Linked DNA regions of Oreochromis niloticus. The protein of the gene in region 4 interacts with the protein of the main gene of each other region in a pairwise test. Links are inferred from orthologs where the notes say so. Each region holds a gene or a part of one and is shown on either strand. Other genes may lie near its edges. The genes, in order: ubxn11, brain-enriched guanylate kinase-associated protein, pdlim7 and enkd1.

What was found.
Region 1: the proteins of enkd1 (region 4) and ubxn11 interact in binary tests that used the Homo sapiens proteins (3 or more experiments, as listed by UniProt). The two-hybrid records come from large-scale screens. The link is inferred for Oreochromis niloticus from reciprocal best matches to the Homo sapiens genes ENKD1 and UBXN11.
Region 2: the proteins of enkd1 (region 4) and brain-enriched guanylate kinase-associated protein interact in binary tests that used the Homo sapiens proteins (3 or more experiments, as listed by UniProt). The two-hybrid records come from large-scale screens. The link is inferred for Oreochromis niloticus from reciprocal best matches to the Homo sapiens genes ENKD1 and BEGAIN.
Region 3: the proteins of enkd1 (region 4) and pdlim7 interact in binary tests that used the Homo sapiens proteins (3 or more experiments, as listed by UniProt). The two-hybrid records come from large-scale screens. The link is inferred for Oreochromis niloticus from reciprocal best matches to the Homo sapiens genes ENKD1 and PDLIM7.

Annotation. Positions count from the first base shown.
Region 1 is NC_031976.2:7,542,482-7,549,939, forward strand, and holds the start of ubxn11 (UBX domain-containing protein 11), read right to left. Parts: upstream 3,008-7,458; 5' UTR 2,708-3,007; coding exon 2,637-2,707; intron 2,535-2,636; coding exon 2,494-2,534; intron 2,126-2,493; coding exon 2,030-2,125; intron 1,917-2,029; coding exon 1,816-1,916; intron 1,723-1,815; coding exon 1,671-1,722; intron 1,590-1,670; coding exon 1,510-1,589; intron 1,429-1,509; coding exon 1,362-1,428; intron 1,269-1,361; coding exon 1,051-1,268; intron 962-1,050; coding exon 884-961; intron 811-883; coding exon 687-810; intron 598-686; coding exon 494-597; intron 28-493; coding exon of another isoform or gene 1-27. Other genes in the region: fez2a (fasciculation and elongation protein zeta-2), read left to right, coding at 4,722-5,062, 6,364-6,472, 6,663-6,779, 6,942-7,074, 7,168-7,433. UniProt on the Homo sapiens protein: May be involved in the reorganization of actin cytoskeleton mediated by RND1, RND2 and RND3. Promotes RHOA activation mediated by GNA12 and GNA13.
Region 2 is NC_031983.2:14,025,916-14,032,819, reverse strand, and holds the start of brain-enriched guanylate kinase-associated protein, read right to left. Parts: upstream 3,010-6,904; 5' UTR 2,912-3,009; intron 2,725-2,911; exon of another isoform or gene 2,584-2,724; intron 1-2,583. UniProt on the Homo sapiens protein: May sustain the structure of the postsynaptic density (PSD).
Region 3 is NC_031966.2:28,750,462-28,757,890, forward strand, and holds the start of pdlim7 (PDZ and LIM domain protein 7), read right to left. Parts: upstream 3,004-7,429; 5' UTR 2,798-3,003; coding exon 2,768-2,797; intron 1,410-2,767; exon of another isoform or gene 1,252-1,409; intron 519-1,251; coding exon 420-518; intron 1-419. Other genes in the region: cltb (clathrin light chain B), read left to right, coding at 6,457-6,610, 7,177-7,220, 7,404-7,429. UniProt on the Homo sapiens protein: May function as a scaffold on which the coordinated assembly of proteins can occur. May play a role as an adapter that, via its PDZ domain, localizes LIM-binding proteins to actin filaments of both skeletal muscle and nonmuscle tissues.
Region 4 is NC_031977.2:25,927,970-25,935,909, forward strand, and holds the start of enkd1 (enkurin domain-containing protein 1), read right to left. Parts: upstream 3,018-7,940; 5' UTR 2,780-3,017; exon of another isoform or gene 2,692-2,779; intron 2,374-2,691; coding exon 2,289-2,373; intron 1,576-2,288; coding exon 1,351-1,575; intron 1,193-1,350; coding exon 1,017-1,192; intron 930-1,016; coding exon 774-929; intron 698-773; coding exon 555-697; intron 426-554; coding exon 289-425; intron 1-288. Other genes in the region: vdac3 (voltage-dependent anion-selective channel protein 3), read left to right, coding at 7,828-7,939. UniProt on the Homo sapiens protein: Microtubule-binding protein which regulates microtubule organization and stability. Promotes the stability of astral microtubules and facilitates the proper orientation of the mitotic spindle.

The DNA.
Region 1 (7,458 bases), on a different chromosome or scaffold from region 4:
CTTGGTCTGCAGCTTTGTAGTCCATTCCTGTGCAGGATGGTAATCTGGTGATTATCTTCTTTGAGACTATAATTCACGACTCGAGTAAGTCTAAACGGATTTCTTTTATCTTTGGTAGCATGCTTTCTCGGGTGACAGCTCAAACCCTTGAAGTTTTTATTGGAGTTTTTATTGGAAGCTAACTCTCAGTTTTAACTTCTTAGCTTCGAGCATTACAACGTTAAAGCACATCATTGCACAGCAGTAGTGCCTGCTATGGTTTTTCAGGGAACTAATAATACTAATCCTGGTAATCTGAAATAGTAATAATAATTGATGCTTTGTAAAGAAAAATACAATGTTTACAAATGTTATGTTAAAAATTCCTTGCTCTGTTTAAAAAAGCACTCAAGAAAATGTTGACAAAGCTTTTAAACTTCTTAGGGTGGCTGGTAATTTTGTCCTCATCTGTATATCTGTACAAACAGATCATTGCTGCTTCTCTATGACTCACCTGCAGCTTTGCCCTCAGCGAGTTCCTGATATCAATCACTCGGCCGGCCTTCACCACCAACTTCGGCAGCTTGTTCAGGAACTGATCCGTGGTCATCTTCTTGCCTTTGAATCAGAAGAAAACATGAGAATGACAGCAAAGTCTCTGAGGATCTGCACCGTGGCTTTGATCAGGGTGACGTTTGCAGACAGACCGGGTAAGTGAGAGCTCAGCGCGCTTGCTGATTCATCTTTGTCCCCACAAACAGGCTGTCCTTCACCAGGAAACGTTTCCCATGGGAGCCTAGAGTTGAATTCCTCGTAACGCCTGTCATGAAGCTGCAAAGAGAATTTCTGTGAAGACACTCAATTGTTCCCAAAAACAAAATAAGAAGAAGAAACTGAGACTCACCTCAAAAGGTACACCATCTGGAAATCTTTCTTGAAGCTCAGATGGAAAATAGCCATCCATTAGATCTTGCATGCACTGCTGCAGGGACCAAGAGTTGATGACTTTTAACCAAGGAAAGATTCCAGTTTAATATAGACTTTGATTTTCCTATTTTCAGTGTAGCTAACCTGGGTGCTGTGCTCCTGATATGAGCGGAAAGGACCATCAAACATTACAATGCCATTCCTGTAGAGCCTCAGTGGAATGGGATCCTTTTTAGCCAGCTGTGCTCCTGTCGCTGTCATTTGCACAAAAGACTCTCCTTCCCCTGCGAGGACGTTCAGTTCTCTGATCCTCTGCAGCACGAGATCAAAGTTTATGTGGAAGCCTCTGCTACCAGAAGTCTCTGAAGAAGAGAACAAAACAAAACAAAAACAGCACAGCTTTAAGATACAAAAGACACGAAGGGATTGCAGGTCTGCGGGACTGGTGGATCTACCTCGCTCTGCAGGATCACCAGTGTCTGTATCTCCCACCCAGATCAAACCATAATCGTTCAGAAAGTCCTGCAACAACGACAGCAGCTCAGTGAAACCTCCACACTGATAGAATCACAGTCTCATACTTTATGGACACACCTTACTCACCTCCATCTCATGCACTTGATTTTGCAGTTGTTGGCACCGGCTTTCGAGATCATCTCTGCTCCTCGGGTCATGCATGCTTCCTAAATCCACACAATCATGAAATCGCTTTGATCGACCAAACATAAATCGAACTCAAGTCTGTGCCTGCTGTAGATAATTACCTGACTTCTCCTGAGCCCTCAGCTTCTCCTCTAAATCTGAAATCTGTTTATCCTTGGGAGGAATGACGAAACCATAAAGTGAGGTTTAAACATGTTTAAAGATGGCTGGCAGTTTTGGTATTCGTTGAAGTGGTTGCATGCTCACTTTGCGCTCTATCTCCTTTGCCTGGCTCCTCACTGTTTTCTCCAGGAGGGTCACTCGCTGCACCATGGCAGACATGAGGTCAAAGTTGGTCGGAGGACACCCTGAAAACCAGCAGTTAAGTATTAGAAAAATAAAACGTATAATCATTTTGTATGTGATAAATAAAAAAAGATATATTCGACACTGGAATGGGAAGCATTGTGTTAATGCCTACCTTTCTTTAATGGAGCTCCCGTATTTGAGGTGGAGGCTTCGTTGGGTGGAGTGTGAGAGTAATCAGAAGACTCATCGGCCAATTCAGCCTCAAATTCTAAAAACAAAAACTATCATGGTTATAAAAGTTGTTTTGTTATTTTTTCAACTGAAAAAGTTACCTGAGAAACTTGTGATCAGTTTCTCCAATAAGATACAATTATTATTATTTGGAACTCGTCAAATGTGAGGATGTGCTGCATTTTGCTCATCACAGTTTAAGTTATTTATGTTGTGGACACATGAATACTGTTAGATCTCCACACACTTTTAATCACGGTGTGACTAAAGTGTAGACTTTCAGCTTTAATTTAAGGGGTTTAAAAGAAAAGTAGTTCTAGTTCTAGCTGGGATGTATTTATTTATTCTGTATTTGTACTTTACTGAATTTGCAGTGCTGCTGGTGGTCTGTGAGTGCATCGTTACCTTTCAGCAGATTCCTCCTTAAAGGAACTTTTGATTTGCTCCTGCAGGTCGAAGAAAATTAAGTGTGGCGACATGATTGATACGTTTATTTTTCACAATAAAACTACAGTCCAGTTTCTACCTGTGTGGAGTTAATCACCTACCCTTGCTCTTTGTGAGCGCCCTGCAGAGGAGTGCGTTTGGTTTTCTTTAGCATCGACAAAGGAGAGCTCATTTTAAATCCAAAGCCTGAATATCCCACACTTATTTCTTCTTTGGACTTCTTTCTGTTCAGAGAATGAACTATAACAGAGGTTCAGAGGGATTTCCGGTGTTTTCTCAGTTTGTGTGGAGTCCGTTTCCAGTAGCAACAATGTAACGTACTAAGTGAAATCTGCAGAAGTGTCTGTTTCACCCAGAGGAGGTCGCTCTTTCTGTCCTTACTTTAAAATTCTACTACCTCTGTTTCATAAGAAAAAAATTATAAAATGTAGACGTTTACATTATAAACGTTCTAAAAATGAAATACAAATAAAGAAATGATCATTTCATTTCCAAACTAAGTGATTAGTTTTTTGGGGGGGGGTTTTATGTGAGAAGTCATAAATATTTAATGTTTTATTCATCATTATAAGATGCATTATGAAATGTAAGCACTGGTGATGTCATGTTGGGAAACTAATGAGACAGAAAAACAAAACAAAAAAGCCTTTTTTTTTTTCATTTAAGATAAACGAACATTGATGAGTGGTGTTTCCTAACTTTGCCTTTACTGTTTAGATGCCGTTAACCATGGATACGCAGAAATTATGACGGCATCAACTAATCTTTGCCATAACTACCTGGTGGGCAGATTGATCAAAATATCGATACCAAAGCTTGTATTGGTATCAGATCGACACTAGCGCATTAGATTGATACTTTTTTGCCCTATCCTCTAAGTTCAGTATGGAGCCCACTCAATTTTGGGGTGGAGGGAAAAGAAAAAATAAAAACACTTTTTCTGTTGACTGCCACATTTATTTTATTTATAACCTATAGTACAGAAGTTGGTCCAAAGCCCTTTAGAGACAGGCACATTTACATCACAGATCTCCAAAATAAAAGGTTTTGTTGTGCAAACAAATTACTGTGGAAAATAATTAGTGGTTTAGTGATCATCTGTGCCTTTAATGCACATTATTAGTCATATTTAAAGCACATATTCAACTGGATACACAATAAAATAGTACCTTCATAAGCAATCTAATTACTTGTATAACCTAAGAATAATTCAGTGTCTAAGAATAATTCAGAATTAATAACCACAGTTTTCAGGTTAATACACCAGTTTACACTTTAATTATGAAACCTGAGACAAAGGCTTAATCATGTTGACCAGAATCCTCCGAAGTAAGTTTGTTTCAGTATTGTTTACACCATTGTTTCAGTCTCTTAACCACATAAATGCTGTCCATGGTATATTAAGCAATTAAAAACGTCACACTGGCGCTCCATACATCTGGATTAAATAGAAACTCGTAATAGAGTTTCTTTTATATGACAGTTTTTTAATTCATAGTCCTTCTGTTATTGTGTTATTGTGCAGAATCTAACAGGATATCAACTGTATAATACCCAACTTACTTTTCGTTAAACGAAAAATGTAAGGAGTAGAACATTTTTAAAAATGTAATAAAAGTAAAAGGTAGTCAGAAAAAATTACTCTAGCAAAGTACAGACACCTGAAAATTGTACTTAAGTACAGTTACAAGGTATTTATACTTCATTAGCTAACGTTTTTGGTGCTATTCAGAGTAAATACACATAATCTTCACACTTTACGTAACAACAACGACCCTGAACAGTTTGCACTTATGTGTGTTTTGAATCTTCAATACTGAACTGTGTCACGAAATTACCTCTTCATCTTCTTTTTGAAGACAGTCTCATTTTTCAGGGGAGCTTGAATACGCACACACACACACACACACCACCACCACCACCTCAAAAAGGGTATAAACTCGCCATTGTATAGGGTCAGTAGTGATAAATGATCATGATGCGTTTTTATTGCTTTTAACAATCACGTTGTTGTTCAGACCCCACGTCACCGTGACCTGTTTATATTCCGCGTCTCGCCGCTAGTCGGCCCGGCGCAGGCTCGCTGTGGGCAGTGAGCGGGCAGACAGGGAGGATGCGGAGGCCTGCCAGTCCCACAACAACAACACATCTATCATCCACCCGGGGCGACTAGGCCGGTCCGGGCTATGGCTGCACCTATAGCACATTTCGACGACGACTGGCCGAACCTGGGTGATCCGAGCATAGTGTCAGAGGAAGGGCTGCTGCCGCAGAAAGGCCGTGTCACCGCCGCCGCCGTGAGCGAAGCGGCGCCCCAGTCGCTCCTGTTTGGCGGTGATGATGATGATGATGTTCTGCACGACAGCAGCTTCTCCCCTAGAGAGAACGCGGGGTTCCGGTCTATGGAGGATCTGGTGAACGATTTCGATGAGAAGTTAACCACGTGCTTCCAAAATTTTGACGCCAAGACGGAGAGCATCGCTCCCGTGGCCGTGATCGCCGAGGACACGCTGCTGGAGAAAGACGAGTGAGTCCACGGCCTGTCTACGGCAGGCTGCGTGTTTCCCATCCAGTGCGCATGTGGAGGCTCCAATACAGTTTAAAAAACACGGAAAGACATGTTGGGAACATTTAAAATAGGAAGTAATGGCATCGTCATATCATCTGTTGTCAAGATAAACGGAGTAATCTTTAATTCAGATTAATCTTATGTGCCCTATATTAAAGATCGATATTGGCCTATACTCAGTTTTATTTTTAACTCATTTCTAAAATCAACATTTTTGTGATATTTTTAACATTGCAGCTTTTTGCAAGAGATATATTTGTTTCAAAATAACTGCTATATTATATTTAAAGTTGGTTAAAGTAATTTATCAGGTATGCATTAATAATAATAATTTCATATTAGGGTAGGCTGCTGGTTATTTAAAAAGTCACCTTGGGCATTTTCCTTTTTACCACACTTAGGAGTTGGGGATTGTTTTAAACCCCCCAGTGTTCATTCCAAAAACATTTACAGCCAGTTTCCCAACCTATTCATAAACTGAAAGGGGAAAAAAAAAATCAACGTTTTCAGTTTCACACTAGACTTAATCCATGTCTGGGAAACTGAGCCTTAAAGTGTTAAACTGAAAAGAAATGGGAGGTCAGGGGGTGGAAAAATCCTCAATAAATCCTAAATAGGAAACATGAAACTCTACTTAAGTGCTCCATCAGGAGGCATGATGCTGCAGCTCTGGGTGTAAGTGGCACTTTTTAAACGTCATCATCTGTGGTATTTTCAACCTGATAAGCTGTGTAGGGGATTATACTTTTAACCTTGGCATCAGACCTGCTTAATCTGATTGTTATGTTTTTAGATGCGGCATTAAAAAAGTATTTCTGTGGTGCCTGCAGTCAGTACCAACGTCCTTGCTGCTAACATAGGTTTGTTTTTAGTAAAAAAAAAAATATCGCTAAAGGGGAATTCCAGGAATGCTGTGATTATCTCAAGTGCTGCAAACAGGAGAACTGTTGCTATTGTTGGTAATGATTAAAAATGAGAAAATAATCTTTAAAAATGCAAAGAAAAGATGAAGCAGATCCTAATATGTACCTCAGGAAGATGTAGTTTTATTCTCAAATTATAATTACCCTCATTCTTTTTGCAGTTCATATGTTTATTTTGATTGATTTCAACCTTGACATACTTAGTTTGTAACACAGATCCTAAGATGTTTACAGTCATCAGATCCAGGCTTAGACCCCATTGGCAACATGTTCAGGCAGCTGCAAATGAAATCCGCAGAGTATGTGGTTTGTAATGAAAGTCTCGTGTCCCCTCAGAATCTGGAACACTTTGACGGCTAACTACGGACATGTGATGCCCGTGGACTGGAAACGTTCTCGAACGCACGCCCTCCACGTTCCCGCAATCAACCTGGAGGAGAAACCCGTGAGTGATTCCACCTCTTCTGGCCCATCCCATCCTATCTCTGTCTCATTTTTCCCTTCATCACACCACCCGGCTCCCCTCCCTCCAATGCCAAATCCCTCCTCCGGTCATCTCGCAAATCTCAAATATTCATTGTGCCAGGGTTTAGTGCTTTGATTAAATTCCCTCCTCCTGCTCCGTTCCTGGTTAGAGAAAGGCAGATGTTGTGTTGGAGCTGTCAGACGATGAGGAGCTCAGGGATCAGCTAGACATGCACTCCATCATTGTCTCCTGCATCGCAGAGGAGCCCCTTTTCACAGCAGAGCAGGTACGTTACACACCCTGTCAGAATCCAGCATAGTTCACCCCAGAAGCAGCCACACTGGGTCAAGCCTGTATAGGCAGAGCTTAACATGGCTGAAATCTTTTCCACAGATGTTTAATAACTCGTGCTCGATGGGTTATTTTAAGAGCTGGCTCTTTTATGCAGGTTATCGAGGAGATAGAGGAAATGATGCAGGACTCTCCTGACATGGAGGCAGAACATAATCCATCACAGTCGGACCTGTCAATGCTCTCTGTGGACGTCCAGCAGCCCAACAGCTGCTCTGACTACGAGGAGAGTGAGTGTCTGCTGATCAGAACAGTGTGTTATGATGGGTTATTTTGTTGCATTTTATGTAAGTAATTTAAGGGAATATGCTTTGGTGGTCCAGGGATGGAGGCCCTGAGCATTGCAGAGCTGAATGAGTGTCTGGAGGAGACTGAAATGAAGATCAGGAGGTTTTCAGAGGAGCTGGTTCAGCAGCTGGCTCTTAGGGATGAGCTGGACTTTGAGAAAGAGGTGAAGAACAGTTTCATCTCAGCCCTCATCGACGTGCAGAACCGGCAGAAGGAGTACCGCGAGGCGCTCAAGAAGAAGAAGAAGCTTAAAGGTGGAGCTGGGAAATCGCAAGGTCTTCCAGAGAAAACACTTGGATCGGTGAGTACTTTAACTTTACAGCCAG
Region 2 (6,904 bases), on a different chromosome or scaffold from region 4:
CAATCTACTATGCACATAACTGTAAAGTGGAAAATTAGTACAACATGCAAAATACAAGACTTTTCACAAGGTTTCAATTATCTACTTTAATCCAAAACTCGTAAATCTCATAAAAACTGGCTTTTAATTGGCTAGTAGTGCACTCTTTCATATGGAGACAGTAACTTTGAAAGGGTTTGTCGGTGCATAATGATCTCAATTTCATTGGCATTGATTTAACTCAGCTTACATGTGAAGTACAAAACAGCCTTTGGTGATAAGCTTTGGCTTATTATCTATGACAAGAATCATTTCAGAAAACTGAGGAGGAGCAGAGCTCGTTGTGCTGCAGGGGGTTGGTGGAGCTGATGGTTTGTTTGGACAGACTTCAACACTTATTAATTTTCATCTTTGGACTCATTTAAAGTGGACCTATTATGTTCATTTCCAGCTGCAAATTTTTATTCTTGTACTGCACTAGATTTAGAGTAGCTTTGCATGATTGGCAGTTAAAAACAAAAACGTATTTATCTTACGCCGAGCCCATTAGTTCATACTATATTTGAAACAATCATTTTTATATTCTCTCCCTTTAACTTTCTACTGACTGGTGTCCCCTCACCAACAGCATGTGTATGGGACTGTTTATTCACAGTCAGAGCTTCAGCCCGAGATGACCATATTCAAGATTTCATCTCTTTTTCACAGTATTCAGAGCCAAGAGTAGAAAATCAATAGTTGGAAACTGAGCTCTTGGAGCAGTCTGAAGCCTGAGGTTTTGATTAACAGGGATTACCTGCACATATCCATACATTATTATTTGAAACCTCTGGCCATATATATGAGGATTAGCATAATTTGCTTGCATGGACAAGGGACATTTCCCCATCTCTGGTCATACCAGCCTATCACATGGCAAAATAGCAAAGAAAATCTAATCATGTTCATTTTTCCTGGACACAAATTCGCACATTTGTGTCACAGTAAGCACGACTTTGAAAATTAGTGGTAAGTATATTAGCAAGGATATTTTATGCCTGGAGCACATAGAGGGGACACACCATCCTGGCAACCAAGATAACTGAGCTCTGAAAAAAAGTGTCAGCTAGTGAATGATCTTTTTTCTAAATCCAACTGAGTAGTTTCTTAAGATAATTAATAATTTAAAAGAAATGCAATGAAATAATTTCAGTCCCAAAGCACCAGCAGGGTATCTGTGTGCAAAAACTATAGTTAGTTAAATACAGTGAAAAGGACTGAAAGGAGCATGTTATGATATTTTATAGGATCCTCAGAGAAAAGGGGAAACCAGACTTTTTTCCCCAGTTTTCAAAGTAGAAAGATACCTAGCTGCCTGGTTAATTCATTTATTTGTCTGCCAGCATACTGTGTTACTGCATTTTGAGAATATTTTATAGTAAATACTGAAGTTAAATGGCGCGTACACATTCAGTATTAAACACAATCAAAAAAGACATTTAGGATATGCAAAAGTGTGTAAATTGCATCAGTGTGATTGACATACATTGCATATTGACAAGGAATATTGGATAACTGTACAGCACCATTCCATGGGCATACCATTTGCAAATACAAAGTGCCATCTTCCAACTAATTACGAGTTAATATAGCTTAAAGTGGCAGAAGGTTAGCGCACATTGTTCACTCTTCCTTTGTTTTTCCACCAGATTAATTAAAGCTCTCTCCACTGTACAGCAGGTTTGAAATTCACTTCAAAGACTCAAAGTTTCCCCCTAGACTGCACTTTATCCAAGGTTCTGTTTGCTTTAATTATGTAACAGGAAGCAGGGATCATCTCCAAAATCAATGGTTCCTCACTAGCTGGAGGTTAAGACCGGAGGTGAAAGCAATTAACTTCTAGATGTTATGATCATGTTATGCTGACATGCTGATTATAGAGCCACCTAAAGGCAATGTATCACCAAAGGCTTTAGGATTTCCTCACTGAAATTCAAAGTGATCACACCCATCCATCACGTCTTTTCTCAACTCATCAACTGTGCAATTATGGAGTCTCCCATCGTGTGTTCTGTCTTACTCTTGATCTGTACAAAGTGAGAAGTTTGGCTTAACGAGAGCAACTTTCTTTCTCATGATGGGCTTGTTGGGCTGTAATAGCCTCTCTGTGGTATCTTCTTGCCTAGTGAAATATTATGAGAGTAAATTGAGGGCTGTGAAAAAAAACGTGGTAACTCATTATTCTCATACCACTAAAATACAGACAACAATAATAACCCCTAAAGAACAATACCAGTTTAGTTCAACTTGACCAAATGATCATGATCAACCTAACTTAATGCAGTGACTTCCAGTAAAAGAAAACCTTCAGATTTTACTCCAGTATGCTGCACAACATGTAGTCACATTCTCCAAACATAGTGTACTGTTGAATGCAGAGCAGTCTACCCAGCCCTTTTTCTCAAAGCGCTCAGAATATGCAACACATGAACAGAGAGGCACAACAGCTACAGAAGAGCCCTCACAACAATCATTACTTTCACAAGTGCAGCAAAGCAACTACACACACTTATCTCAGCGTCACTAATGAAACCAGGCATGCACTTCTTCGCTTCCTTGCCTTACCGTTTATATGCCATTTGCCTCATTTTCAGCAGATAAAATCACTACATTCATGTGCCTGTGCATCCCCTCAGAGCTGCATGCATTTAGAAAAAGACTCCTCTAATTCTGACTGGAGACAGGGCTGGTAGGCAGAGAGAGAGAGATAGAGAGAGGGGGGAGAGAGAGAAAATGAGAGAGGGAGCTGAGAATTGAATGGAGCAGGAGGAGGTGTTCTGGAAGAGGAGGGGTTAGGGGAGTGATGGAGAGAAGAGCGAAGAGAGAGAGGGGAGAGGTGTGGCTGAAGGTGTAACTGCTGGGAGGAGAGGAAGTAAAAGTGAAAGTGGCCAACCTTGTGTCATGCTGCGCCTCGCCATCAGATTCCTGGTAGGAAGAGAAGCGGGTGAAATGATTAGATATATTTATCAAGCAGATTTATCTGGCGCCGCCGCTGCCACTGCACGCCGTGGAGTACCTCTTATCTGGTGTTTAACGAGCTCTCAGAGAGGCTGTGTCTCGGCAAACAAATATATCCATTATTTCCTCACTCTGAAAACACACACTGTATCAGTTCTGAGAACATTAAGTGAAAGGAGGAGGGAGGCAGAGCAAGAAATGACAGATTAACAGTGCAAAAGAAAAATGCTGTGTGCTGCAGAAATGGAGAGAAAGTGCCCAAGGGTGAGAGGCAGACTTGCAGACTATAGTTACGAGGAAAGTACAAAAAAGTAAAACGGTAAACAAAACTAAAAATGTTGCAAATTAAGTCTAAAAGAATGATTTGACATTTTCAGAAGTACTCTTCTTAGATTTCTTTCTTGATACCACTCTCTTGTTTTGAAGGTGAATGAAGATATAGCTACCTTAGGGAACACAAAAATCTGCCTAACATGAAGCTCACTGCTGAGCGCTTCGAATTTTATTTCGATATGCAACAATCTGTGGAAAAAAGGACCACGCTTTGCAAAAGTTATGTGGAAGTTAGTCGCTTCAGGTTGCTAACGCTGTTTAGTGTTTATAACATAAGCTAACTGATGGCTAGCTATATTATACTCAGTACTCGGAGCATACTCAGTGCTGCTCTGTCATATCTACACATGAACGCAAATAAATAGACTGGTCATTGCTTGCATATAGATTGTAAATAATAAGGATTTCACAAGAATTTACATTGAATTTTTTAATGCAAGTTACATGCACGGCCATAATGAACTTTACAGTGGCCACGAAGTCACTGGTGCTGCAGTAGGTTGGTATGTTTTCAGGTGTTTGTGTGTTCGCATGTTGCATGCAACTCGCGTCAGTCTCATTGGTGAGGATTCAGCAAGGTATATTAAATGTCACAGGTGCACAGCTCCAACATACGGGCTACAAGATTGCAGTGCGTATTGGTGAGTGTGTGGATGCCAGGCTTCACGCAGTTGTGTGGGTGTTACAAACAGTGCGAATGATACAGCAGGATGACTCATACAGCTACTGAATGAGACAACGCTCAGTAATCCCCCAACCCCCCCCACCTCCACGTCCATCCTTCCATCCCAGCATCCCTCTGTGTGGAGAGGGCAAGCCTAGAGAGAGGGGGAGGAGGATAGAATTGGCATTCCTGGAAGGCGTCACTGAATGATAATCAGCTCACATGGATTTACTTTCATTCAGTGGAAAAGGTAAAATATTAACCTTTAACTCGCTTTTGCTAAATGATGATAGAAAGGAGACAATAAGCACACATATATTAAAAATATTGACTTGACAAACACTATTTGTCATTTATTTTGTACTTAGCTTGGGCAGCTAAACATCCATCCATCCATTTTCTTCTGATTTCCAATTCATCATCAGGGGTGTCTGGAGCTTATCCCAGTTGTCATAGTGTGAGAGACAGGTACACACTGGACATGTCGCCAGTCCATCGTATGGCTCACACATAGAGCCAAACAACCATTCACTCTTACATTTACACCTATGGGCAATTTAGAATTACCAGTTAACCTATCCCAAAACCACACGTCTTTGGACTGTAGGAGGATGCCAGAGTACCCAGACACAGGGGGAACATGCAGACTCCACGCAGAAGGCCCCCTGGATTTGAAGCCATCTTGCATTTACATTACCATTTGATAAAACTTTTATCATAAAAAAATATTAATTAGTATTTTTAATAACTTTCTAATCGTTAGGATTTCTTCTTAGAATTATTTCTGATACCACTGTGGATAATTTTCAGCATTATTTTCATTACATTTTTTGAAACTCTGCTCCCACAGCATTTAAAAGTAAATCTGCTATTCTCATCCCAATATAAAGGTCATTCACTGCATTTACTAGGTGATGATTTTATCGAAACACACACATTAGCCCACATGCTTCATGTTTAATTACTGCTGTATTTCACAGGGATACTCTTGTATTGTTAGGATGCGTTCCGCTGCTGACTGATAATTCATAACTTCACTATGTATCAATTACAAGTTCTCAGTTTATCTCAGCTCGTCACATATTTTGTAATCCATGTATTTCAGCCTTGCCCTCCAGACTGCAGAGGACACTTCTCCTTCTTTTTCTCCTACCTTGAAAGAAGCACCCACCTCATCTCTGCACTTGCAAGCCACTAACTGTGAAAAGCTGCCATACAGCAGTTTTCTCTCTTTTTGCCAAATGTATTCCTTTTAATACAGACACCCACTCATCGGCTGAACAATTGCTAGGGAGCTGACATCCAGTGAATAAGTTCTAGTCAGGAAGCGACATCCCAAACATTTCTCTTCCTCCTTACTGTTGGACGTTGGTCAAAGTTCACCCATTTAGCAGCAGGGTATTAGTACAACAGTGCATCAGGTTGTGAGAGGCCATATTACTGGATGGCATTTCTATGCCTGAGGCTCAAAAGCACAACAAAAACAGAAGGGGGGAAAGTGTTTAAATATTTTATGTATCAGCTACCTTCACACTGGAATTTGTTTTAGATTCAAGCAGTCTTTCTCTATTTTAGTAAAAAAGCAGCAAATAAGGCAGATGTATTTCTTAATATTATATTCCAAAGGGACCAGTAGTTCCCATTGCTAGCCCTCTGTTGAATGTTTGGAGGGCAGGGAGATGCTAATGCATTTAAATAAAAAGTAATACAGCACTCTGAGAACATCCCGGCCACTGAAAATGCTCATCTAGTAGGTCGTGCTGTGATTTTGAGTCTATATTTAAAAGAAGCATGAGCAAGAATACAGTTAGGTCCATTAGTATTTGAACAGTTACGCACTTTTGGTAATTTTGCTTTTGTACACCAACTGTATTTCCCACCTAGAATTTCTGCAGCCATCTTCAGCTGCTGCTTTTTCGTAGGTCACTCTGCATTCAATTCGGTCTTCAGTAAGTGAAAAGGATGTTCTGAGATCAGCTGAATGACTTGGCCATTGAAGAATATCTCAATTCTTTACCTTGAGATACTTTTGGGTTGCTTTTGCAGTATGCTTTGGGTTATTATCCATTTGTAGTGCGAAGGTCTGTCTGATCAGTTTTACGGCATTTGGCTAAATCTAAGCAGAGCACAGCCCAACACTTCAGAATTCATCCTGCTACCTCTACCAGCAGTCACATCATCAATAAACACTAGTGACCTGGCTCCACTGACCTACATGCCCATGCTATAACATTGCCTTTCACAGATGATGGTGTATGCTTCGAATCACAAGCTGTTTCTCTTCTTTTCCCTTCTTTTTTCTTCTCATCATTTTGGTGCAGTTTCATCTTGGTTTCATCTGTTCCAAATTATTTTTATTAGGACTGTTGAGGCCCTTTCAGATGCTTTTGCCAAAGTGTAATCTGACCTGCTTGCTCTTGTGTGTAACCAGTGGTTTGCACCTTTCATTCATGAAGACATCTCTTCATGTAGACTTTAGGGACCAGAAAAGGTAGAAACATCCAAGTAAAACCCATAGTATAGCAAAGAAGGGGGTATACTACATGTTTAGCTTATACTACGACAGATATGCCTGTCTGTTTAAAATGTTCTTTACTGGACCTTTTCATCCACTTCAGCTGTTTTCTGTAGTCTTTCTGGCCTTTTGGTGTTAGTTTGATCACACCTGAAGTTTTTGCTATCTTTCTGATAGGTTTATCTTGTTTTTTACAGCCTAATGATGGCCTCCTTCACTTGCATCAACAACTTTTTGGACCTCATTTTGAGAATTTCAGTAAAAAGCTGGAAAATACAAATTCAACACTTGAAATTGATTCCAGATATTTTGTCTGCTTAATGTGTCACAGAGCAACAAGAAAATAGGCCTCACGTGGCCTTAAAACTACCTTCTCAACTGACCAATTATTTTTAAGCCTCTGAAAATAGGGCACT
Region 3 (7,429 bases), on a different chromosome or scaffold from region 4:
GAAAATTCGTCCAGGGAAGGAGGAGGGGAGCGAACACAGAGTACAAAGCACACAGCAGGAGTGTCATGCAAAGAAACTGCATGTTAGAACAGATCGGCAAGGGTTACCAAAATGAGCCATAAAAACATTTGAATAGTATGGAAATGCTTCTGTAGACAAACCCCTTTACTATCTTACTATGTGTGCCTAATTTAAAAAAAAAAAGAAAATGATGTGATACATGCATATGCTGAGGCAAGGTAAGCCCTGATGACTGAGGTGGCCAAGCTGGTACTTAAAACCAACAGACTCTTGTTAACAGGCCGAGGCTTTCATAGAAGCTTAGAGGAAATCTCAGAGGAGAGCGCAAACACCTCAACTGCTGCTCTGCACAGATGCAAAAAAAAGTACAAAAGCTGATTCCATGTGCACTTTCTTACCCTTGACACGGTGAGAGGCATGTTGAAGTCCTTGCCACCCTGCAGCCTGAAGCCCCAAGGCGGCGAGCCGCTGAGGGTTACAGAGTACGTATTCATACCCTTGAGGAAGGAAAAAAAAGGGAAAAGGAAACATCTTAATTAGCCAGAAAGCCCGGAAAAGGTTCTCAAGGTCCTTTATTATTTTGCGTTATCTGAAACAGTGTATCTGCTGGCTGTCAGCACCACCAGCCCCCAAGAGCACACACACACACACCATACAGAAAATGGCACTCAAGTTGTTTTCTTTTACAGCAGATAATGTCACGTCTTAGTTTTAGGAATAACCACGTTACAGCAAGTCAAAATTAGGCAATAAAGAGGGAGCGGTGCTGGTTGGATGTGCCATTTTTACACATTTCAAAACACACATAAATAGCCTGGTGTCATAATCTAAAGCTAAACTCTAAGGTGAAGTTAGAGTCGAATTCATTTCAGTCTACTGCAGCGCCAATGTGCAGCATTTAGAAGATCTACTGCACAACAATAGCAGTAACAACTCCTCCTTCGGGGGGGATAATGTGCCACTTGCTGTATTCAGCCAGGTAACAGGTATCGTGGCTTCACCGCAACTAATTACTGCCATTCGGCGGCAAGGCACTAAATAACTAGGTAGTTTTAAGAACCAAAGGGCAACATGAGATGCAGGCCTCTGTTAGTGGCTTACACAGAGTTGGGGTTTGACCACTGACCTCTGTGCTCACACTGCTACTCTATCCCTGCTCCTCCTCCACCTCCTCTTCCGCAAACCTACCAGGTGTCACAGGTCTCCGTGACACACAGCTATGCCACCTACCTTGTCCTCAAAGGTCAGCTGGTAGCCCAAACCTGGGAGAAAGCTAAAGAGTCAGTAAGCTGGAGCAAGCAGATTCCCTCTCTGTTGGCAAACCCTACCCCCTCGATCCTGACTGTGACACAGGCAAGCCGTAGCCTCTGCTCACTCCTCAGAGGCTATATAAGGAATGTAAAACTACACCAAACTATTTCAGCCCAACACCCACATGAGTCACAGGGAGAGGAGGAGGAGGAGGAGGAGGGGGGGGGGGGGGGGGGGGGCAGAGGAGGGGGGGGGGGGGGGGGGGGGCAGAGGAGGATGGAGAGAGGTAACGTCAACGACCCATGGATTCTGGCACGGGCCAGGAGATTTTTTTTCTCCTCCTCTAAGTTCATTGCACTTGGGAAACGGCGGACGGCCACAAATGAAGCAAAGCACACAGACCTCTACATTCTTTCTGGAGGGCATGAAACATAGTGCAAGCAAGAAAAAAAAAAAAAAAAAGCCCTCAGCAATTATACTTTAACATCAAGCTCTTAAAGCAACAGAGCAGCTCACACACACTGTAAAGACTGGTGAGACAGTGGTGTGCTCACAGATAAGGAAAATCTAGCAGCACAGCCTTTAATCCAGCCTAGCACCCCAAATAATCCCACTAAGAAAACCTGCAAATCTGCTCAAGTTAATGGAAATCCTCAAAATAAAAAAAGACTTCCATTCGCATTCATTTACTGTCAATGCACCCTGTAGATCTGTACAAACCTGACTCTTTACTGGCAAAGCTTAAATTAGTTTTTCTCAGAGCCAGGGAAATGAATTATGATACAGAGGCGCATAAGGCGACACACAGAAAGACCTGCAGCAGGAGCAGCAGGTAATGGAGGCTAGATTTCACTGGTGATAAACACCACACTGAAAGCTGATTATTCAGACTGTATTAAAGCGGAGGAAGTAACAGCATTAATGTGAATGCACTCCAGTTAATTAAACACCACCCTGTATGATAAGCAAGAGAATAAAAGCATCAGTTTTAAGCCAATAAATGTGTGGCACTCATCCCCATGCTTATGGTGTTGCTATTTATAATCTTCTATATTATTGCCGCTGCTGCATTAGTTCTATAGGAACTCGTGTTGCTTTTAATGAGAGCTCAAATACACGAAATTTTTTGGTTAATACGCTACGCAATTACGAGCTTACACGGGTTTCTTTTAAATAACTTAAATGCGTCCAGCACACTAATTTCCCAGCGGTAATTAAAGGCCACGCTGTGAACGCTGTACCCCGGTTAACACCGCCGCAGACAGCCAGGTTTCCACTCGCGACAACACGGGACACGAAAACCGGACAAAACTCTCGGCTCTGACAAAGTAGTTAGCACAGCTACAGAGCAGCAGGGGCTCGGGGAAGATGGCCAGAAGCATGAGCCTGCACAGTTTGGAGCACCAGCTTAATCCATACAAACCTCCTCTGTGGGGGGGAAAAGTTGGTTTGAAGAAGTTACACCACACAAACACACAAAGATGCATTAGCTTACCTCTTGTGTCTCTCTGTGCTCGCCGGACATCACGAGTGTACCGGATTAAAAATAATTAAAAAATAAGATAATAAGTCGGTTGGCAAGCAGGCAACTTTTCAGACTTCCTTGAGGCAAACGTTAGGAAGCCGCCGTGGATCCCCCTGGTGAGCAGCAAACTCATTCCCTCAAATTCTTTTTAGCAGGACTCTGCTGAGACGTCAGAAGTCACATGGGCGGAGGCTTCATTTCACTCAGAGGCCGAGTTGCACTCATCAGCTGCTACTACTAAAGCCATTCATCACAGCCGCCATGAAACCGCTTTTCTCAATCACTCCGTCGGTTTTAACTAAAGGAAAATAAATAAATAAATGAATAAGAGTAGGCCTCAGAGATAAACATGAACTAATCCAGGACACCACCCCTGAAGAATAACTTTTTACACACGCTGTTTGCTGCACTTACTAGCTAAGCCATTATTATTTAATTGTAATAGGGTAACTTAATTTGACATGACCTATTCTAAATGGAGAGAGAAACAGTTTTACTAGTAAGTAAAACTAGTACCGTCTACAATAAACAACACAGTTAACACAGGTGGCTGCATGGTAAGAGCCTTACACTAAGAAATAGCGCAAGAGTCTGTAAAAAAAAAAAAAAAAAAAAGTGAAGTTAGTTTTAAAAAAACAGTCAAACTTAGACTGACAGTGTGTGTTGTCGTGCACATTTAATTAAGAAAGTCCGCAGACACGGTCAGCCGCAATCAACACTCTTTATTATCATGCGCATGTCATCAAGCGCAGTCCCTGAAACAGAAGTGGAGCTCTCGCTCTTTTGTATCTTTGTACATTCCAAAGAAAGGGGAGGAAGTCACAAACTGATCATAGCACATATCACGCCGCTCGCTGTGAAACCTAGTGGAACTTCCACTACAATGGGTATGCTGTTTCGTGCCCTTGGCGCTATCAGCACCTGCAAATGCAGTTGTTTTCTTCAACTACTGAGGCTGAAATAAGTTCATCTGGTTTTAGACTGTTCAGTGGAAGTTTTACATTACAGTGTCACAACTAAGCATACGCATAAGTGCCTATATACCTTAAATGAGAATAATAGAAATTTTCCATTACAGTGTGATTGCGTGAAAAAATAATATGCACACTATGCTGCATGAAGATATAATACAAAAATATGTCTGGGATCTTATGTGTGACAGGTGTGTTCACCTGTGTGTTCACCTGTCACAGCATGAGTACTGAGTACTTCATTTCGTTCTGTCACGTGTCTTTATGATGAGTGACATTAAAGAACCTTGGACCTGTTTTAAGCGGACTTTCTAACACAATAACTACACATTAATCATCCACAGGCGTTAAGTTAGGCAAAAAGACAAAACAAAACGTAATTCTTTCTGTTCACAAACAAAAACAGGTGTTAAAAAAACTTCAACTACAACTACAACTTCCGTCTCATCCTATCCCCAGCATCCTCCTCTGCCACACCAACCCTCTGCATGTTCTCCTTCACTACATCCATGAATCTCCTCTGTGGTCTTTTCCTCCTGCCTGGCAGGTCTATCTTCAATATCCTTCATCCACTATATCCGCTATCACTCCTCTGCATGTATCCAAACCATCTCAGCCTCGTCTGTTTAACTTTGTCCCCAAACTGTTTGTCCTGTGCTGTTTTTTTCCAATTATGGATTTTTAAATTGTACAAAACAACTCCACTATCCACTTCGACCATTACTTAAAGGTCATATGGGGTCATTTGGGGCCTTTTAGTAATGATTATAGATGCAAAGAAATTGTTTTATTAATCTATAATACCCAGTTAGGTCATAGGCTGTTAATAAGATCAATAAGTATCAAACAGGAGAAATATATACAGTCAAGAGGGGTATATACAAAAATAAGAGAAAGGCACACATTAGAGAACAAGTTGCAAAGTGCTTGGAAGCAGTGCAAAGAAAATACTTGGTCTGAATAGACCGTGTGTGAGTCACCTGAGTGATGAGGATTACTCAAACCATGGTGAGGTGAGTGGGCAGGGGTGGGGTGTGGGGGAATAGTGTTTGTTAACAGTCCGAATGGCCTGGGGGAAGAAGCTGTTTGTGAGTCTGGAGATGTAGGACCTGATTGACCTGAGGCCTTGACGTGGCCTCCAGGGTTGGCAGAGGAGAGTTTCCCCGATGCTGTCAGTGATGTGTAATGCACTTAGTAATGTGTAGCTCTTATGATTCTTTTTATTTTCCTTACAAGGTCACAGGTTCATTTCACATGGATTCACTAACGCTTCACTGTACTGCTTTTTGCTTTTCTGTTAGAGGCTAAACTGCCTTTCAGCACACTTGTGATAAAGTTTAAACTAATCAAAAAGATCCTTGTCACACATAGAAACAGAAGAGATTAAATGCATTACAACTGTGTGACGTTTCTGCTTTCTTGCGTCCTAATAAGACTCGGCATCCAAGGGAGTGGAGGAAGAATGGAGAGTGAAAGCCAAGAAGGAGCTTGAGGACTGGCACGTACACCAAAATGAGCAGATGGAGAAGAACAAGACCAACAACAGGTTAGGATCTGACCTCCCCACCCCACCACTAATGTGCAGAGAAGTAATCCATGATAGTGGATAGTGTTTGTTAACAGTCCGAATGGCCTGGGGGAAGAAGCTGTGAGTCTGGAGATGTAGGACCTGATTGACCTGAGGCCTTGACGTGGCCTCCAGGGTTGGCAGAGGAGAGCCAATGATTTTTTGGGTGGTGTTAATTACCCTCTGCACAGCCTACATTGGTGTTGTGGGTCCAGGTGAGATCGGTGGAGATGTGGGTTTCCAGAAACCTGAAGGTGGAGACAGATTCCACCCGTTCTCCATGTATGATGAGAGGAGAGTGGACCTGTCTGTGTCTCCTGAAGTCCATGATGAGCTCTTTTGTTTTAAGGACCTTCAGCTTCAGGTTATTTTCTGAGCACCAGTGGGACAAGTTTCTCTACCTCTGCCCTATATGCCTCCGTCAGAGATGAACCCAGTATGTCATCGGCATACTTGACGATGACATAGTCGGCAAAGTCGGACTGATTGAGGGCAGTTAGTGAGGAAATCTTTGATCCAGGAGCAAGTGACAGGAAGGATCTGAAGGGAGTCCAGTTAAGTGGTGAGGATGTCTGGTTCGTCTCCCTTTTAATGACCCACTCATGTAGATTTTGCTGAGGATAGTTATTTTCCTGCGGGGGGGGGGGGGGGGGGGGGGGGGGGACTGAATGCATAACCTTTATGCTTTTCCATTTCTGTCTATAAATAGTGCTATATAAGTTTTGTCGATATTTTTTATTACTGTTACCGCATTAGTACTACAACCCTTGGAGATGACAGTGCTGTGCTGCAAATGGCCAGCAGATGGCGACAAACTCCAACAAAATGTAAAGGTCCCCTCGGGGTGCTGCCCCTGCTCTATCATCATACACATACTGGTTGAACAAGTGAAGAAATAATGAATCATCAGTTAAGGCCTTTAATCGACGCGTAGATTGTTTATTCCGTATGCTTTACTAGCTGACTCTATTTTTCCAAGCAATATTTAGAATAGATAACACTCAAATCGAATTTTTAAGTTGTTACTATTAACGTTGCAGAGCTCGGTGCCCTGATTTTTGTGGCTTTAACGTTTAGCTAGCTAAGCAAGCTCAATCAAACTTGTACACTTTTTGTGAAAGATGGCTGACAACGGAGCGCACCCGACTGAAGAGGACCCGGCCGCCGCTTTCCTGGCTCAACAGGAGAATGAGATAGCGGGGATAGAAAACGATGGCGACGCATTTGGGACCCTAGAAGGAGCCGGTGTTCAGCAGCCGCAGACCGACAACTATGGCAAGTTTGTCCCTGAGCTAACGTCAGCTAATGTTTAGCTAACGAGCAAACAAAGCTAACTAGAGCTAGCTAATATTAATACCGGGACTTGCATCGGTAACTTGCTTAGTAGTTAACCAACAAAGGCCCCACCGCCATATGTTAACAACACCACTGTGTGATATAAGTGGTTAACACTCTCACTGCTTCCTATTTAGATTCAAACTAACAGTACGTTAGCCTTGTAGCTTAGCTAGCTGCGGGCAACGACAACGTAGGTTTTGTTAATTGGACGCTATCCCACATAACATTAGCTATGTGACACTAGCACCTTAAAACTAAGCTAAAGAGCAAGTGCTCCTGGCCTTTTAACCGACAAAGCAGCCCAGACAATATCAAGCAGGTGACCAAACAGGTGTTGCTGCATTTCTGAAGTCTTATCCGTTTCGAGACCAAAAGTGACACCACTTTAGTAGTAGCAGCGAGCATAAGTCACTCCAGATAGCAAGGAAGTGTAAGTGGATAAACTCCAAGAAGTTCATCTTAACTTATATCTGTGGGTTTTTCTTTGTTTAAAAAAATGCTAGACGGCTTTGAAGAACCTGCCACGTTGAATGGAGACCTGTTTCAGGTGAGCTTCAGTCTTGTCTGTAATACTTTATGATGTCTGTCTCTTTACATAACCTATGTGTGGTTGAGTTTTATTCTGAACACCGTAATCATGTGATGAAGGAGTGGGTTTGCTGTGGCGTTCACGCATGAATGAACCGAATGGCTGTTTCTAATGGTGTAAATGTTTTGCGTACTCCAACAGGAGTCCAATGGCCCAACAGACAGCTA
Region 4 (7,940 bases):
TGAAAAATCAAACCAAGAAAAGAATTTTACTAGAAAAAAATAATTTGTCTCTTCAACTTAAAGGTGGTGATCCAACCACAACTAAGCCTTGATACGTGCTTCATAAAAGACTTCCTGGATTTCTCAACACACAGTCCAAAGACTGGGCCAGCACATCCCATCACTAGATTTAAGACTAATCTACCAGCTAAATCTTAATCTACCAGTTAAAAACACTGTGTAGTATCTCAGTGTTGGGCATTCCCGTGGCAGTTATCTACATGTATGAATGTAAGGGAGGAATCATACTTTCTTTTAAGGACTTCAGAGTCTCCTGTCTCTTATTCTCAGGCATCAACGTGTGTCCAGCTGGGATCGTAGGATCAGGAGCATTCCTCCTCCTTTCTTCTTTCTCTTTACGCCACTGCTCCTTCCTTTCCTGAAGGCTATATTAGTGTCAATGTCAAAGGGCAGAGAGGAAAAAAAACAAGGGTGTCAAAAAGGTCAAAAGTATCTAGTGGTGAAATATCATGAGCATTAAGCACACTGACACTGAAGGTTTCAATAACACTCACTATTGAGGAACCTGGCCCTTGACTGCACTGGGTACAGGCTTATCTCTGAGGTTTGTCAGTGACTGGGACCTCCGAAGCACAGTTTTTCCTGCAGTCCGGGCATTATGTTTTATGAAGTCTATTGTCTGACCTTGAACCTGTAACTGCAATTTAAACAATCTGTAGAAACATGTTTAAAATGTAGATGTGAACTTCTAATAAAACTTTAGCAAATCTCACTTGCAAGTCCAGGTCCTGTGTAGAGTTGCAGGAGGCCCGACGCTGCTCAGCTACACGTGAAGTTTTGGACTGTGGCCTCTGTGGGGAAGCAGACCCACCACAGGAATGCGCCTTCAGAAAGTTTTGACACTGTGGCTTAACACTTGGACTGGAAACCTTCATAAAAGAAACAGATTGGTCAAAACCTGATGAGGAAAAATAAAGTGCTCACGGATGGGCATCTTTCACAGATGTGCTTCTTGCCTGCAGCTGAGCCATCACCTTGGATGGGACATTCTGGTATTTTGAGGTGGTCCAAAGAGCTTTAACTGGAACAGCGCGTGATTGTGCCCTCCCAGCCTCCTGCTCTTTGCAGCGTTTCTGGATCTCTCGCAGTCGACGGACATTCTCTTTACCAAAATCATGCATCACTCGCTGTTCTGAGGGTAAGAAAGACTGTCTTAATTTCCTTTTAACACATGCAATCATTCAAATTCATTATTTTCATGCTTTCCATAATAACATGCTAAAAAATGCCAAAAGCTAGTACGTCAGTGTTCAATATTAATAACTAGTAGTTAAAAAAACCCCCACTTACTCTGTTTTGGAACAGGAGAGATAGAAACACTGTCTATTTTTAGTAATTCCCCTACAATCCCTTTCCGACCTCGTTCCAGGATATGGGTAGCATTGGGGCTGATGCGGGGGTGTTGTGCTGGGGTACGAGCACTGTAGCAACCTGGGTACAACACAGGATCTGGAGCAAGGGGCCCTGAAAGCAGGGCCAAAGTTCCATCATGGTTTCCCTCTAAACGACCCCGAGCTGGAGGAGAAGAGAAAAATAAAATAAACTTGAGCTAGAATTATTAGAGTTTTGTATTTGTTGCAGTTTTTAAGTATTTTGGGTGGCTTTAAAGCCTTTATTGTGATTTATTATAAATATTTAGTTTTCCATTTTAGTTTATTTGAAATTACTGAAATTTTAATATCCAAAGTGGGCCTGGTCATTTCAGTTTAGTTTTTATTAGTTTCAGTGTCATTCCTGTCCTAGAAAACACCAAACAAAACACCAAACACCAAAAATCCACAGTGTATTTAATTTTGATCATAATTATAGTTTTTTTAGTTTTCTTTTCTTAAGTCCAATTTTCATGGTTATTTGAGTTTACCAAAAATATTGGTTTATCCAGACCAACTCACCCTATGGCTCTTTAACTTTGTCTCCAAACCATTCAGCCTAAGCTGACCCTCTGATGGACTCATTTATAATAAACAAACATCTTCAGCTGTGCACCCTCAAACTTTGGCTCCTGTCTTTTTGTTAGTGCCACCATCTTCAAAGTATAAATCATAGCAGGTCTCATTACTATCTTATAAACTTTCCTTTTCACTTTAGTTGCTATCCTTCCATCACAACCCCCCCAACCCATATCTCAATGCTGCAATATGTAAATAAAGGATTGTGTAAAAAAAAAAAAAAAAAAAATTATTACTCTAAATTAATTATTACACCACAGCCACGTGGCTGCACCCCACCTGAAGCTGGTCGCTTGTAGTACTGGGGAAACAGAGAAGGATCCGGGGGAATTGGCCCAGATATAGACGAAGGTCCCTCACACATCTGAAAAAGACTTTGTGAATTATTTGCTAGTGTTACTTAAAAACACGTAAGACTGCTGATTTAATTTGGCCTGCACCTTTCTAATAAAAAGTAATTAACCCAACTCATATAGACTATACAGAAGAGCAGCTTCTGTACCTAATTCAGCTGATCGGAATATAGTGATTCTTCAGAATATAGTAGTGGAAATACATGTTCTTCCTCTGTTTCAGGGCTTGCTAAAGGCTAACTATTGCTATTGTTAATTACCTCGTTGTAAAGTTATCCCCTCAACACATTTTCTTTCGACGTATTCAGTATAAGATACAAAACACGCACCTGTTTAGTCACGAATAACTTGCAGGTAATCTTAACGTCGCTGCAACCAGCTGCATTTAGGCTAAAGAAGAGACGGTAATCTATTTACCTCCGTCCCCTGTTGTTTATCAGTTGAGTGTTTTCACGCACGCTGATGACGCCGAGGTCTCGGCACTTGTTGCAGTACTCCTCACCATGGCAACGGAGCAGGCGCACACAGAAATAGAGCAGCCGGGCAAATATTATTCATCGAAAAGCGTATATAGCGATCAAATTCCTGAAAGAATAAGACAAAGACAAAGCGCAGGGCTTCTTAAAACACAATAATAACTGTAATCATAACTAAAACCTCTAAATCCAACGGTTCCTGCAGTTTTAAACCCTTAATCCTGTCGCTCTGTGTAAAGGAGGTATAGTGACCCTGCGTGTTGTCTTTCAGGATCAGCAGTACTCTCTTCTAATTAATTATCGAGCTACACTCAAATCTTAACAATCCCCCTAATCTTAGCTAATGCAAAAATAAATATAAATATGACCAAATATCTGTCAGAGCATGCAGCGTAAGTACACAGGAGGTACCCAGTTTGCCTGATATGCCTAACTCAGGGTTACAAACCCAATCATTCGAAGGGGACATTAGCTAGAGGTCATTGTCATTGACTCCAGAGTGCACTTCTAGTAAATATAGCAGTTTTACAGTTATTATTCTCCCTCTTTTCAGCACTACAGAGGCTTTAACAATATGAATAAAACTTTTCACTAAGGTGCTTGGACTGAGAGTATGTTTACCACATTTCTTTGTTACTGGAGTAAATGAACTATAACAAAAAATATGAAAGATTAGTGTTTGTGGAATTATAGAAACAATTATTCAGTGTAGCAACCCTATTTTTTTAATATAGTATACACTTATATAAACAGAGTACTATAATAAAGCCAGATGCAGTTTTCACCAAATATGACAGTGATTTTCTTCCCTATTTCTTTTTCAGATGTTATCATTATTATTATTGTTATAATAATAATTGCCAAGAACAGATCAATTTTCCCCAGGATAAAACAAATATTTGGATGGATAAATGAAAAATTTTGTTATGATCTCCATTTTATACATGCCCTTTGTGGGTTCCGTCCATGTACACTGGGCTCTCCTGTAATAATATCCATTTCCCAGTAAGAGTATTTTTAGCACCCAGATCTCCATTCTGAAGGTATAAACCCAAAAACATATAATCTTACTTTCTCAGGGAATTTCACAATTAAAGATCACACAGATCACCATGTGTCCAATAGTCTTTAATAAAAGGAAAAAAAACCCAAAACATGGTAGCAGTTTGTACATTGGGTTTTGGATTTTGGTTTTCAGCAGAAAGGGTGGGTGGGGTGTGTGTAATAAAGCATTAAATCTGATCAGATTCTTCCAACCAAACTCCCTCTATTTCTGTTAGCTGGTACATTTACACTGAAATCTCTAAATTATTGTCTATTCTCCCTCAGGCATTATAATTATATATCCTTTCTCCCCTCCATTTTCTCTTAATGTATGAAGATGGCCGTGTTTTAATATTTAGTAATTCCAGTGTACTCTTATATACACTGGAATTACTAACCTCTTAGACCTCTCTGTTACATTTTTCGGCTTCATATCAACATATTTTTCTCTATTTCAAATAGAACAGCTGCTGGGCATTAATTTATTCTCTAATGAATGAGTAGGGATGTGTGCGTCATGGACACAATGTGCATATTGCAAACATTTTATAATAAAAGAGAGATTTAGTGCCCAATGTCACTTGCACAACGGCCCCGCCCTCTGCTGGAGGTCTGACCTGCGCCTGCTCAGTCTGGTTTCCTCTGCTTTCTTCACTGTGCTCCGCTGCAGCGAGCAGTCCTTTTAAACTCTGCAACACTCCGCTACAAAAATAAAGGTGAGTTCTAAGAGTCTTTTGCAAGTCCCTTATTTTATTTTTAAATTTTTTTAAGGTACTGTTTTGCGATTTTTTTTCCTGCAATGGTAGTTGTTGTCAACAACCGCATGATTTTTAGTGAGATATGAGTCACACAAGGGTGGGAGTAGCCGCCGCAGACGGCTATGCCAAGGTTTTAATGCCAGTTCAGGCCTGTGTGTTCCCATAGTTAGCCAAAATTAACTATCATAAAACATCCTCGAAAAACTGAAGTTTAGCCCTCTTCTCAAAACTTACCACGAGTGTTGACGGCATGCAGCGAAAACAACAAAACAAATTTTTATGAGCGATAATAAGTGGGATTTATTGCACTGTTGTGCTGCAACATTTGAAATACACAACTTAAAATAGAGATTGTGCTTTTAAATAAAGGAGATGTATATGAAACGGTGGACGCATCTGGTCATGAGCATGTTCGCTAAGGACAGGGGGACGTGAGACCATAAATCTACTTTAAAAGTCTTATCTGTGTGTTTGTTAAGAAACACAAAAGAACATTAACAACTAGCACCGCTATCTTTTGTCATTGATTGTAACCTGTTGTTCAGGCTTTCCTTCCTGTTTAATTATAGAATCTTATCCTTGCCAATGGCCTGGTGAGACAGAGTTTTATTAGGTTATTTGGATAAAGCAATCAGTGAAAAGTGCTATCAGCCGATATTTGGATAATCATTGCTGTTCATTGTTATTGGCATCGGTGTGTGTTATGCAGAAATAAAAAAAAAAAGATGCCTGGGTTAATTTAGAAGTGGTGTCCTCACATGGTGTGTTTAGCAGAGTAGTTCAGTAAACGTGGTTCACACCTATCTCAGCACTTTCTGCAGCACATGTAGCAGGAGCTGGTGCAAAGTCTAGTGCTGTATTTAAATTAAGTCGTTAACTAGATAGTGAAAAGCACTGCTGGAAACTATAAAGAAGATCATTTTCAGTTTCAGAATTTCACCATTGCCCGAGCTCTTCTTTGAAAGAGAGTTACTGTCCACGGGCCTTTTGATGGCCTTTAAATGCCTTATTGTGTCACTGTTAAAAGGTATATTAATGCCACTATTGGATGATGCAAGCATTGTACAAACTAAAGCTACTTGTAAACACTTGCTTACACACAGCAGAAGTCTTTTTGTTGTCACTGTACACATTAAAACCCATTAAAAGTGACTCTGATGCAGAACAGAACTGCATGTTTCACTTTACGTTTAAGCTATAACTTGACTGCACTTCACCTTATCTCTCACACACATTCCCTACATTATGGTACACAAACAGACACACACAGTTATCTTGGTTTGGTTATCTGTACGCTATGCTAGAGTTGTGCAACTGCCTAATTGCATATTTTGCACCTTTTTATGGCTTTTTATTGGATGGGAATGTCAGAATTATTCCTTTCATTTAATCCTGCAGACGATGTCAGTTCAACTTAAGAGGTTAAAAATCTGTAATATATATAAGTTGGTCTTCTCCACAGTTAATCTGGATTCAGATTAGATATTTAGATGTTTTTATATTTCACAGTGTATTTAAGAGAAGAAACAACACTCAAATTAGTCAGCTGAAAGAGTGCAACATAAATACTGGGAATTTGTGCTGCTCACAAATTGAGCAGTATGAACTCAAAGCATGTTGCGTTGGACAGTTCTATGGATTTTTAAGTCATTTAACATTTTGTTTGTGTTCAAATACTCCCATGTCATTTATGTGGAGTCATCTTGACCTTTGCGCTCACTCCACTCTATCACCTGGCTACAGCTTGCGTATAATAACGTATGCACATTGTAAGTATTACGATGAGTGGTGGATGTTTTTGCAGGTACAATAAAAGTGCAATACTTGTTAAAAAAATGTATATAGGGGTCTTAATAGGCTGAACCTGGAGGAGAACACATGTTGAAAGCCAAGTCACATGTAATTCAGTGTCATGTTCACATGGGCTAAATTTAGAGCTGAGACTTGGTGAGGAAACTAAGGGGGGGAAAATGGACTATGCGGAGAAGGGGGTGAGGGGATAGAGAGTGGAGAAGGATTGTCTGTCGGGTGGAATGACAAAGACAGATTGGGAATTGCATGTGGTCTGCCACGTAGTTGCTGAGTGTCTCGGAAATGAATATTGAGACCACCGGTGATGGACTGGATATTTCAACATTTGTATTATGTGAAAATGAAGGAAGATAACGCAAGCTTTATTTATCCCAAAAGTTGGAGAGTTTTTTTAGCTTAAGAGTCAGCGTTTTAACTCAGGGGTTGATAGAAAATATTAGAAAGCTAGAGGAGGGTGAGTGAATATTGAACATTCATTTGTGACATATCACCAAAAAAAAAAAAAAAGACACTTACTATTGGATTTATCCCAAAGTTGGCCATATCAGCCTAAAAGTTGGTGTCTACTACATTTGCTATTCCCCCCTGAACTCTGTTAAATAGCTTTGCATGATTCACACTTTCTTCAACTGGGCTTTGGTGCACACATTGAGTTCATATGTTTTAGCATCTTTTCCCCATTTAAGCCAGCTTTCTCCTGATTGGCTCCCTCTTGAACACAGTAAGATTTAAATAGCAAATCAGTTATCCCCTCTCCCATGTCATACAGAACAAAGTGCTTAGAACAGTCTAAAACCAGAACTTTTGGCTCACAGGAGTTAATTTTTACAGATACTGACCTCTTTATTTAAAACCTTGGTTACCCCTGTAAAGGTAGTAGGCCCAATTTAAGTCTCACTATCGCTTCTTTAGTCATGAATATTAAATATTATAAATGAAATACTTTGAACTGAAAGCCGTTTTTTTTCTGAGTTAAAATCTTTGTGTATAAATGGTGCATTTGGAGAGGGGTTATTGTAAATATAGATCTCTGCAGGTGATGCGCCAGACTTTAAGGAACCTGGCATTAAAGTGCATATTTACCTGTGTGATTTACTTTCGTGACGTGTTCTGTTTTTTGTACTTTTGTGTGGGGGATGGAGGAAAAACCATTTCAAAAGATCTTTTCACATCTACACACAGGCCTGGTTTGCATGCAGTGCACAGAGTGCACTGGTTTACATCAGTTAAGTATGGCTACAGTAGCTGTAACATGCTGTGAGCCACTTTCAAACAAGAGTTTGTATTGTGCGATGATGCTGTTAATTAAAGTGGTGAAGGACTTCTTGCCAAAAGTTTCCCATTGTCGCTCCTTTTACTTCTCATCTGAAGAGTCATGGCACAGAATGTTGGGATTGTACTGCAGCAGGACATGCCAGGAAAAGGCAAACATGCAGAAAACAAAGACCACTGTGTGACGTGTCAGAGCCACGCACCAAAGGGACATGG